2 linked regions of the Anolis sagrei genome follow. The protein of the gene in region 1 purifies or fractionates together with the protein of each later gene. This does not show direct contact. Links are inferred from orthologs where the notes say so. Each region holds a gene or a part of one and is shown on either strand. Other genes may lie near its edges. The genes, in order: SUPT16H and TOP1.

The links.
Region 2: the proteins of SUPT16H (region 1) and TOP1 fractionate together in Homo sapiens (co-fractionation; 3 studies listed by BioGRID and IntAct, with this or other methods). This does not show direct contact. The link is inferred for Anolis sagrei from reciprocal best matches to the Homo sapiens genes SUPT16H and TOP1.

The regions. Positions count from the first base shown.
Region 1 is NC_090026.1:11,052,885-11,059,200, reverse strand, and holds the start of SUPT16H (FACT complex subunit SPT16), read right to left. Parts: upstream 3,688-6,316; 5' UTR 3,618-3,687; coding exon 3,552-3,617; intron 1-3,551. UniProt on the Homo sapiens protein: Component of the FACT complex, a general chromatin factor that acts to reorganize nucleosomes. The FACT complex is involved in multiple processes that require DNA as a template such as mRNA elongation, DNA replication and DNA repair.
Region 2 is NC_090024.1:216,028,645-216,034,960, reverse strand, and holds the start of TOP1 (DNA topoisomerase 1), read right to left. Parts: upstream 4,231-6,316; 5' UTR 4,077-4,230; coding exon 4,044-4,076; intron 2,204-4,043; coding exon 2,179-2,203; intron 1-2,178. UniProt on the Homo sapiens protein: Releases the supercoiling and torsional tension of DNA introduced during the DNA replication and transcription by transiently cleaving and rejoining one strand of the DNA duplex.

The sequences.
Region 1 (6,316 bases):
ATCACAGGTTCGCAGCTTGGGAGTTCTCCTGGATTCATCACTGATCCTGGAACCCAAGGTCTTGACGGTAGCCGGGGGAGCTTTTGCACAATTAAAACTTGTGCGGCAGCTGCGCCCATACCTTGAGAAGCTAGACTTGGCCACAGTGGTACAAGCTCTTGTTACATCTAGAATAGACTACTGCAATGCATTCCACGTGGGGCTGCCTTTGAAGACTGTTTGGAAGTTTTGAGTGGCCCAATGGGTGACAGCCAGATTGCTAAAAGGAGCACCACACAGGGAACAATCAACCTTTGTTATGCCAGCTCCACTGGCTGCCGGTCTGCTATGGAGAACAATTCATAGTGGTGGCTCTAGCCTTTAAAGTCCTAAACGTTTCCAGCCCAGCTTATCTGTCAGAATGTATCTCCCCCTATGAACTAGCCTGGATGCTAAAATCTTCTGGGGAGGCCCTACTCTCGAAGCCTCCCCCTTCCCCAGCACGACTGGTGGGGATGAGAGACAGGGCCTTCTCAGTGGTCGCCCCTCAACTATGGAACACCCACAATGCAATATTCAAAAATGAAGTTAAGACAAACAAATCAGATTGGACCATTACTGCAGGTTTAGATACTATGGTTTTAATTAGTTATTTAAATGTATTTATTTATATGGTTTATTATAATTTCAACGATCAATGTGTTGTATATTTATTTGATTTTATGTTGCCATGTGGCACTGAATCATTGCCAAATTGGAAGCCGCTCTATGGGGTAGAGATTGAGCAGGGTAAAAAATGCAGTAAATAATCTATTTAAATAAAAATATAATGTTCATTTGTGGGATTAACATAACACAAAAACCTCTGGGCGAATTGATACCAAATTTGGACACAATATACCTTTCAGGGCAACGAATGACCACCACTCATAAAAATACTGAAAAACACAGCAGAAGGGACTTAAAAGCCAAAAAAGCAAAAAGACACTACAGCGCATGTACAAAAACAACTCTCCCTGGCAAACAAAACACACAATAGCATATTCACGTTCTCTTCCAGACTACAGCTCCCATCATCCCCTAGACCAGGCCCTTTAGGAGAGGAGGATGATCCAAATGCACTGCTTTCAAGCTTTCTTCTCTTTGGATTTCTTTGAGAGCATCTCAATCCCTGCGTATTTCCAATTTCCTTTTCCTTGACTGCAACTCCCAGCAATCCTCCAGATAGATAAGATAGATAGATTAGATAGATAGGTAAATAGATCGATCAGGGGGACAGCTGGGAGTTGCAGTCCAAAAATAGGTAGAGAAGGGAGAAAGGAGAGTAAGAAAAGGGAAAGAAAAATGGGGGGAAGGAAGGGAAGAGGAGGAGAAGGAAGAAAGGAAAGAGGGAGGGAAGGTTGGCCACAGCAACGTGTGGCAGGTACAGGTAGTCTATATCTATATAAATACAAATGTAATGTTCGTTTGTGGGATTATCATAACTCAAAAACCACTGGATGAATTGACACCAAATTTGGACACAAGACACCCATCAGGCCAATGAGTGACCATCATTCAAAAAAATGATTTTGTCATTTGGGAGTTGTAGTTGCTGAGATTTATAGTTCACCTACAAACAAGGGGCATTCTGAACCCAACCAACAATGGAATCGAACCAAACTTGGCACACAGGACTCCCTTGACCAACAGAAAATTCTGGAAGGGTTTGGTGGGCATTGACCTTGAGTTTGGGAGTTGTAGTTCACCCACATCCAGAGAGCACTGTGGACCCAAACAATGATGGATCTGGACCAAATTTGGCACGAATACTACATATGCCCGAATATGAACACAGATGGAATTTGGGGGAAGTAGACCTTGACATTAGGGAGTTGTAGTTACTGGGATTTATAGTTTCCCTACAATCAAACCCCACCAACAACAGAATTGGGCCAAACTTCCCAAACAGAACCCCCATGACCAACAGAAAATACGATATTTTCTGGTGTTCTTTTGTGACCCTTCTGACACCCCCTCCCAACCCCCAGATTGAAAAATGTTGCCTTAAGGCCATTCGGTCCAACTCCCTTCACCAGGTCAAGAAAACATAATCAAAGCCCTCCTGACAAAGAGCCATCCAGCTATAGATATAGATTATATATGATTCACACACACAAATATGTTAGGACAGATATAATAAATTTGAAAGGCGCCCCTAAAGAAGGACAATTATATGTTGCATGTTCCAGAGTAGGCAAACCACACAATCTCTACATCAACACTGACAAAGAAACAACAAGAAGTACTGTTTACCCACCAGCATCAAAAAATTACATATATTAGAAACCAACACTTTCGCATTACTTTATTTTCCAGATCACCAGACTGGGCCACAGCAACGCATGGCAGGGGACGGCTAGTCTAAATAAATAAAAATGTAATGTTCGTTTGTGGGATTAACATAACTCAAAAACCACTAGACGAATTGATTCCAAATTTGGACACAACACACCTTTCAGGGCAATGATTGACCATCACTCATAAAAACACAGAAAAACACTGCAGAAGAAACTTGAAAAGCAAAAAAACTCCCCAAAAATTACATTACAGTGCATGCGTAAAACTATATATATATATACACACACACACACGCAAACATGTATACACAAATATATACACACACAAAACACATATAAGCAGACTGGGCCACAGCAACGCTTGGCAGGGGACGACTAGTATATCTATCTGTATAAATAAAAATGTAATGTTCGTTTGTGGGATTAACATAACTCAAAAACCACTGGACGAATTTATATCAAATTTGGACACAAGACACCTAACAACCCAATGTATGTCCTTCACTCAAAAAAATGATTTTGTCATTTAGGAGTTGTAGTTGCTGGGATTTATAGTTCACCTACAATCAAAGAGCATTCTGAACCCCAGCAACGATGGTATTGAACCAAACCTGGCACACAGTTCTCCCATGACCAATACTGGAAGGGTTTGGTGGGCAGTGTCCTTTGGTTTTGGAGTTGTAGTTCACTTACATCCAGAGATCACTGAGGACTCAAACAATGATGGATCTGGACCAAACTCTACACGAATACTCAATATGCCCAAATGTGAACACTGGTGGAGTTTGGGGGAAATAGAATCTTGAAATTTGGGAGTTGTAGTTGCTGGGATTTATAGTTCACCTACAATCACAGCAACCTGTGGCAGGGGACGGCTAGTTAATAATAATAATAATAATAATAATAATAATCTTGTTGTGCGGAAACAAATATTCCAAAATCCTCCAACAACCCCTCCCCCATCCCTTAAACAGTTATCTCAGGTCAAGAAAACCCAGACGATTTCGTTACTTAGTTACTTGGCGATTTCGTTACTTAGTTACTTAGCAATTTCGTTACTTAGGTAGTAGGTTTGGTGACTTGCCCTCAACCCCAGCTAACATGGAGGGCTGGCTGAATGCTTTCCAGGGGAGAAGCATTCTGAAGTGGCGACACGAGGTGGAGGGAGGAAGTGAGGAAAGGCCCAGGCCTGGAAGGTAGCTAGGCCTCTCTCCTCGCCCTCGGAGCCCTCACCTGCCAGTTGCTGTAGAGCCGCTTGATGCGACGGTAGTAGGCCTCGCGGTCCAGACTCAGCGCCATGGAAGCGGCGGCAGAAGCGGCAGCGGCGGCGACTCCTCCCCTCCTCAGCTGCCTCCGTCGCTGCGCCGCCGCAAACCCCGCCTCCGCCCTTGATTGGTTGGATCGCTAGTCCGTTCACACCTCTCCGCCATCCTTTTCCACTTCATTGGTCGACTTCTCCGTCTGTTAAACAACGCCCGCCTCCTTCCTCCTCGATTTGATAGGGCTCTGAGTCCCGCCTTACGCAAGCCCCGCCTCCTACCCCCATTTTTATTGGTTGGTTTGTGAGTCCGTTCGTTCTCAAGCCCAACCCTCAGGAGCCAGCTCATTTCTTAATTGGTTGTTTCGTCCATCCATCCGTTTCACAAGTCCCGCCTCCAGCCGACACCACGCTTCTTGATTGGTTAATCCGACCGTCCGTTCGTTTTTTCTCTCTCTTTTCCTCTCACGCTGCCAAAACCTCGGAAGTGAAAGTCTCCCTCCACCAACCGTATCTCCTCCCTCCCCCTCCACTTGGCTACGTCACTTTCTCGCGACTTTTTCCATTTCCTGTTCTTTAATTATCCCTCTCCCTATTAAAACAAATAAATATTTTTTTAAAAAAAATTAAAATAATTTTAATTAATAATTTTAATTAATATTATTAAAATAAATAATAAAATTCTTAAAATGAGACGACTTTTTTTCCAGTTTTGTTGTTTAATTATCCCTCTCCCTATTAAAAAATATTAAATATTAAAAATATTTATTTAAAAAAATAAAATAATTTTAATATTCTTAAAATATTAATATTATTAAAAATAGATAATAAAATTCTTAAAATGAGACGACTTTTTCCATTTCCCGTTGTTTAATTATCCCTCTCCCTATTAAAAATATTTAAATATACACTTTTTAAAATATTAAAATAATTTTAATTAATAATTTTAATTAATATTATAAAAATAAATAATAAAATTCTTAAAATGAGACAACTTTTTCCATTTTCTGGAAAAATAGGGAGAGGGATAATTATATATATATATCTATATATATATATAATTAAAATATTAATATTATTAAAAATAAATAATAAATTCTTAAAATGAGACTTTTTTCCATTTCCTGTTGTTTAATTATCCCTCTTCCTATTAAAAATATTTAATATATATATATTAAAATTAAAATATCTTTATATTTTTAAAATATTAATATTATTAAAAATAAAAAATAATATTAATAAAATTAGACGACTTTTTCCATTTCATATTTTTATATTATAAAATATTAATATTATTAAAAATAAATAAAATTCTTAAAATGAGAGGACTTTTTCCATTTCCTGTTGCTTAATTATCCCTCTCCCTATTAAAAAATTATATATATATATATATATATATAAATTAAAATATTTTTATATTATTAAAATATTAATATTATTAAAAATAAATGATAAAATTCTTAAAATGAGATAACTTTTTTCCATTTCCTGTTGCTTAATTATCCCTCTCCCTATTAAAGACGTTTAATATGTTTTAAAAAATAAAATAATTTTAATATTATTAAAATATTAATATTATTAAAAATGAATAATAAAATTATTAAAATGAGACGATTTTTTCCATTTTCTCTTGCTTAATTATCCCTCTCCCTATTAAAAATATTTTAATATTTTTAAAAAAAATAAAATAATTTTTATATTATTAAAATATTAATATTATTAAAAATAAATAATAAAATTCTTAAATTGAGACTAAAATTCTTCAACTGAGACGAATTTGGGAGAATAGTTAACAAACGTCGTAGATATTTTAAAATAATGTTTATGCAATATGTGTTATTACTGCTGAATAATAATAATAAACCTTATAACCACCTTTATTTTGTTCCTTACTCCCTTATTTTTTGAAAGCGGTAACTGCGCATGCGTCACTCCTTCGACCTCCCCCCCCGCTCTATTTTTCCCCTTCCCGCCAGATGGGCACGTGACTATTTCACTCGCCTCCCTCTTAAAGCCGACTGCGCATGCGTGCTATGGAAAGGCCACCCATGATGTCCTCCTGTCATTTACAGAGAGTTAAAAGGCTAAAGCATGTGGACAATTTTATCAGAAACGAAGAAACCATGAAAATGAACAAAATCTGGCTTTGTTGTTGTTGTTCATTCGTTCAGTCGTCTCCGACTCTTCGTGACCTCGTGGACCAGCCCACGCCAGAGCTCCCTGTCGGCCGTCACCACCCCCAGCTCCTTCAAGGTCAGTCCAGTCACTTCAAGGATGCCATCCATCCATCTTGCCCTAGGTCGGCCCCTCTTCCTTTTGCCTTCCACTTTCCCCAGCATAATTGTCTTCTCTAGGCTTTGCTGTCTCCTCATGATGTGGCCAAAGTACTTCAACTTTGTCTCTAGTATCCTTCCTTCCAGTGAGCAGCCGGGCTTTATTTCCTGGAGGATGGACTGGTTGGATCTTCTCGCAGTCCAAGGCACTCTCAGCACTTTCCTCCAGCACCACAGCTCAAAAGCATCGATCTTCCTTCGCTCAGCCTTCCCTAAGGTCCAGCTCTCACATCCGTAGGTTACTACAGGGAATACCATGGCTTGGACTAGGCGGATCTTTGTTGCCAGTCTGATGTCTCTACTCTTTACTATTTTATCGAGACTGGACATTGCTCTCCTCCCAAGAAGTAAGCGTCTTCTGATTTCCTGGCCACAGTCTGCATCTGCGGTAATCTTTGCGCCTAGAA
Region 2 (6,316 bases), on another chromosome or scaffold:
AAACAGTTTCCACATTTCTAGAACTAAGGGCTTCATCTTATGAGGCACCTAAACAATTAGGATGAGGAAACTATGAGGAAAGCTGTAAGCTCCCTAAAAACAATATATAATGGTGTTGTGTACTGGAAGGAATGTATAATGCTGTAAGTAATAATGTAATTTAAAACAGCCATTCAAGATAAATTATCCTTCCAAAGCGGTTTTAAAACAGTCAGGAAAACTACATCAGTCTATGAACAGGCACAAAACAGAAGCTACATATAAAGAAAGCATGCCAACAGGAGACTTTTCACTGCTTTATCTAGAATAGAAACCATTTTATACATCAAATTAATCATATAATAACTGAGAAGGCAAAGACATTGCAATACAGTATAGTATGCAAACATAATAGCAATTTCAGACTTAGTAGCAAGGTGAGAAAGGACATACCAGTGGAACTGCAATTCTTTAAATGATACTGAAGATATTGTGGTTACCTGAGCAATCAGTGTGACACCAAAGATAAAGGACTGTTTGGGCCTGCTATGACTGTCCTCGTACAATGTCAAGTTACTGGTATTCCTTTTAAAAACCCAAGAAAACATCTAGGAAAATATTTTCATATCCTAAGTACAGGACACACTTTTCACTAAGGTACCAGACATGTGTTAAGATGAGAGAACCAGCAAAATTCAGTGTCTGAATATAAAGACTCCAGAGAAAGGCATGTTCGATAAACGTTTATACAGTCAGAAGATTACAAGAAGAAACACTGAAATCCATGAGATCTTAGACACATTTTAAGTATAAAGTTAGCACTGAACTGTCCCCTGGAGTACAACACACAGACATTCATATCCTTGAATATATATCAGTCAGCAAATGATATCCTTAATAAGAGTGGCAAAAAATCTCCCTATTTACATTCAAGCAACTCTTTGAAATTCAGCTGGTGATTGAGAAAGTTCTATACATTGCTTTTTAAAAAATACTAAAAGGTTTAAATCCAAATTATCTACCAGAAATATTCAGAAAAATAAATATTTCAATGTATATATATAAATATATATATAGAGAGAGAATATCTGTATTGCATTTTACATATGTTTCTGATAACTTTTGTGTATTAATAAATAAGTATTAAAATTAAAACAGAACACGTTGCACAGATCATGAAAACGTTTTATGAAAGTGAGCATAAAAACACTTTAAAGTCAATATATAATTCTTTTTAAGTGGAGGAAGCAATTTTGACATTTCACAGATATGTTATTTCAAATGTACTTGTCTCTCCTCTAGACCTTATTCCCTATAATCAAAGGAAAGCGAAATCTTCCTATTAAACAGGGGGGTTTTTTGGAGGGGGGGGCGCTGATAACAGACTGGTATCCCCTCTCCTTTTGCTTTTGTACATGAATTGCATACAACTGCCCAACTTTAGCAAAGTGATGCTGGCTACTATTCTGGAACTGCCCACCATTCTACCTTTCTCTTTCAGAATACAATAATTAGAGCCCCACCCAGCCAGTTCTGCATCTTGGTCTTAAATATGTTATAAATTGAAAGAGATGAAGCATTTGTTCAAGAGCAACATGTTGCAACCACGTCTGGTTTATAGGGGGATGGGGGACTGAAAGAAACACAACTGGAGGAGGGAAGAAGATAGGAATAAAGAGGTAGGCTACTAAATCAAGGCTTTTTAAAAGCAAAAAAAGAACAAAAACCCCACAGGATCCCCCCACCCGCATCCAGAAAGGGTGATTTAGAACACGGAGGTGGTTATTTCGCATGTTTTCACTGCAGGAGGCTCCTTGCGGGCAGCTCGAGGGAGGAGGAGAAGGAGAAAGAGACACACAGGGAAGAGAGAGAAAAAGAAAATGGCGCAGAGACTAAGTCCCGACCGTCGACAAGGCGACTTTCCAGGGGGGAATCCGGGCCCAAGAAAGGCTCAAAAACACCCGGGGAGGCCAGAATCGGGGTCTCCACAGCCCTCTCTCCCGGGAAATGGGGTCGGATGGGCAAGGGGCTTTAAGATTGGGGAGTATCAGGAAGCCCGATGGGAACAATGGGGCCGGTGAGCGAGGAGACGGGACTTAGTCTCTGGGACGCCATGTCTGTCCTTTGCCATCCTCAGCAAGCACAGAACGAGGGAGAAAGGAGGCAGGGGAGGGGAAGCAAGGCAAGGCCGGCACTCACCGTTTGCTCGGAAATCTGGATCGATCTGGGGGGAAGGAGGAAGGGGGCGAAGATTAGATTTATTTTTTAAGGAATCTTAAGAACTATTTCACCCTTGAGAACAAAAAAAAAATGCCTTTAAAAGAAACACCAGTCAAGGTGAGGGGGAGAAATGAATGCCCTAAATACTCTAAAAATATATAAACTACACAAATTAAAGACATATATACATACAGGGCAAATTCATTTACATGTATATATCCATTCTTCCCAACCATAAGAATTATTTCACTTCAAAAAATGCATTGATAAAACACCAGTCAAGGTGAGGGGAGAAATGAATGCCCTAAATACTCTAAAGATATATAAACTGGACAAATTCAGGATTATATACACACACAAAGGGCAAATTCATTAACATGTACATTTATGTATCCACATATATTAATATACCCCTTCCTCCCAGCTCTAAGAATTAATATATTGATAACACACCAATGTATTGATAAAACACCAGTCAAGGTGATGGGAGAAATGAATGCCCTGTATATATAAACTGGACAAATTCAGGATAATAATATATATAAACACATACATACAGGGCAAATTAATTAACATGTATTTTTACATGCCCACACATATTAATATATCCCTTCCTCCCAACTCTGAGAATTATTTCACATGGCAAAAACTGTACTAATGTATTGATAAAACTCCAATGTATTGATAAAACACCAAGCTGATGTGAGAAATGAATGCCCTGAATATATACACTGGACAAATTCAGGATGATAATATATATAAACGCATGCATACAGGGCAAATTAATTAACATGTATTTTTTATATACCCACATATATTAATATATCCCTTCCTCCCAGCTCTAAAAAATATTTCACATGGCCAAAAATGTACTAATATATTGATAAAATACCAATGTATTGATTTCACATCAGTCAAGGTGAGGGGGGGGGGAATTAATGCCCATTTATAGGGCATGTATATTTATGTATCCACATATATTAATATATCCCTTCCTCCCAGCTCTTAAGAATTATTTCACATACCAAAAAATGTACTAATTAAACACCAGTCAAGGTGAGGGGGGAGAAATGAATGTCCTTAAATATATTTATTAATATATCCCTTCCTTCCAGCTCTAAGAATTATTTCACATACCAAAAAAGTACTAATTAAACACCAGTCAAGGTGAGGGGGAGAAATGAGTGTCCTTAAATATATTGGTATGTTTCAAATTCAAATAATTGACACCCATACATATATATCCCCCCCCCTCTTTTTTCCCCACCTGGCTTCCTCGTGTTTGTTTCTGTGTTTCCCCAGCTCTCCTTTAAATGTATTTTAATGTTTTGAAGGATGTCCTTAAAAGGTGATTGAATCAAGAAGGGAGATCTTGGAGAGAGTGGGAAGTCTGAGACAAAATGGGGACGACTCCACAGGCACAATGCAGGCCATGTCTGGGTTTAGATGTGGCCTGGGCAAATTCCAGCCCTCCAGGTGTTTTGGACTCCAACTCCCACAATTCCTAACAGCCTACCGGCTGTTAAGAATTGTGGGAGTTGGAGTCCAAAACACCTGGAGGGCTGGAATTTGCCCAGGCCTGAAGGAGAGAAAAAGAGAGGCCTAAAAGCCTCTTTTAGAGTGTTGCACACTTCCCAGGAGGAAGACAATGGCTCTCCTCTTTCAGGCAAGCCTCACTTTTCCCTAGGCTGTGAGGGAACTCGCCCAGCTAGGCCTTATTCCGAATGAGGGCCTAGCTTGGATGGGGAAAGCCCCCCCTCTTCGCCCTTCCCCCTCATGGGCGAAGGTAGGCCGGAGCGTCGGTTAGCTTCTCTCAGAGCTATAGAGGAAGGCCTCGTCCTCACCTGGGAGTCGTTGTGCAGCTGATCCCCACTCATTGCCTACGACGAGGCTACGTGCCGGGCGGGGAGGCGAGAGGGGAAGCCTGGCGAGACGCCTGCGGAGGAAAGCCTCGAGGCCGAAGAGAGAACGCGGCCCCTTCGCTACGGAGCAGCTACTTGTGTAACAGACTAAGTCCCGATTTCCTCCCACTGCGCAGGCGCGGCGGCTTTTAAACCGCAGGGCGGGGCTAAGAACGGACGCCACCTTACGGAAAAAACGGGCGCCTTCTTTGCATAAACCCGGCCTACTTGCCTTCTCCCCTCCAATCCGGAGCCGCGAGGGGTTATATTTACATACAAGCCACGCCCCCTGATAGAACTAGCCTTGTGCCCCTTCGGCCACGCCTCTTCCTTCTCGGCCATTTAGGAAAATGCCGGGTGCACTGCTTTTCTTTCTTTCTCTCTATTTACATATCCGGTCACGCCCCTTCCGGGGCATCCAATGAGCGAGCAAGACGAGGGATCGCTATATTTGCATACAGGGAGTACGCTGGAGCGAGGTACCCGCAGCACATTGTGCAAGAGACAGCATGGGCGTAGTGCGCATGCGCTTTCTCGCCCACTGTTTCTCCCCTACTTATAGAAACTCTTCCCAACGCTTGCGACACTTCTGAAGAATTGCCATCAGGTACATGAAGTACCGGCGCCATGTGCTGGAGGAGCCGCTTGTCATGTGCTTCAGCCCTGCTTGCAAATCCCTATCAAGGGCAGCAACTCTGGGAAGACTTTAAACACGATGTCTTTTTGCACTGCTCCAGGCAGAGTATCCCTCTGAAAGTCTTGAGACCAGAGGTGCGTCTGTATTGTAGAATTAATGCAGTTTGACCCCACTGCCATGTCTCAAGGCTATGGGATTCTGGGATTTGTAGTTTAGCAAGGTCTGTAGCCGCCTCTCCCAAATAGTGCTGGTGCCTCACCAAACTACAACTCCCATGATTCCAAAGCAGTGAGTCATAGCCATTCAGGCAGTGTCAAACTGTATTAATTATGCAATGCAGATGCACTCCTGGACTCAAGCTTTTCAGAAAAGGATAATAATAATAATAATAATAATAATAATAATAATAATAATCTATATAAATAAAAAATGTAATGTTCTGGGTTGTAGGTAGGATGCTTGCCATAGATGCAGGCGAAACGTCAGGAGAGAATGAGATAAAAATGAAAGAGAAATATTTCTGGGAGAAGCTCGTAGGAGACGGAGTAGTGGAAACAGGCCTTCACACCGGCAGAAGGAAGTACAATATGAGGATGACATTATGGGCGGAGCAACAAAAAGAGGTATATGGTCACTCTCCAAAGGCGCAACAGAAAAGCCAAGTTTTGAGATCTTTCTTGAAGGCTGCTAAGGTGGGGGCTTGCCTAATCTCACCAGGCAGTGAGTTCCAGATCCGGGGGGCCACAGCGGAAAAGGCTCTCTCTCTCATTTCCACAAGTCGAACCTGTGATGGAGGAAGGGGTGAAAGGAGGACCTCCCCCGAGGATACTCAGCCCAAAGTAGTGTTTTGGATTTTGGAATATCTGTATTTCTGTATGTGTACACCATAATCATCACCTTGAAGATGGAATTTATTTGTATTTTCATAGACACCTCAGCCACCCATATGGGCAATTTTGGAGTATTTTGGAATTCTGGATTAAGGATGCTTACACTGAACTTCCTGACTGTGAGGGCCATTCAGCAGTGGAACTCTCTGCCCCAGAGTGTGGTGGAGACTCCTTATTTGGAAGCTTTTAAACAGAGGATGGAAGGCCATCTGTCAGGGATGCTTTGAATGCAATTTTCCTGCTTCTTGGCAGGGGGTTGGACTGGATGGCCCATGAGGTCTCTTCCAACTCTATGGTTCTATTTTATCTCAGTTACCTCTGCTGTGAGAGAATCAGCCGTCTACAAAGACCTTGATGTCTTGCAATCCTGTAGGGAGGTTTGTCTCATGTCCCCCCTAAAACAGTGGATGTGTCTCTTAATGAGACATGCCACATTATCACAGGGTGTCTGCACCCACAGGGTGTCTGCACCCTACACTACTGGAGAAACTACGCTGTTTAGCCGGTATTGCACCACTGGGAAGTAGCAGTTAATTATGAAAGGACCAAGACAGTGACATCTCCAGCCCATCCCCTGTTCGGATATCAGCCAGCACACTAATGACTTAAATCAAGAAACAATTTTCTAAGATTGACAGAGACATTCACTGGAACAACTCAGCAAGCAAGAGTCCAAAAGTGGCAGCTAA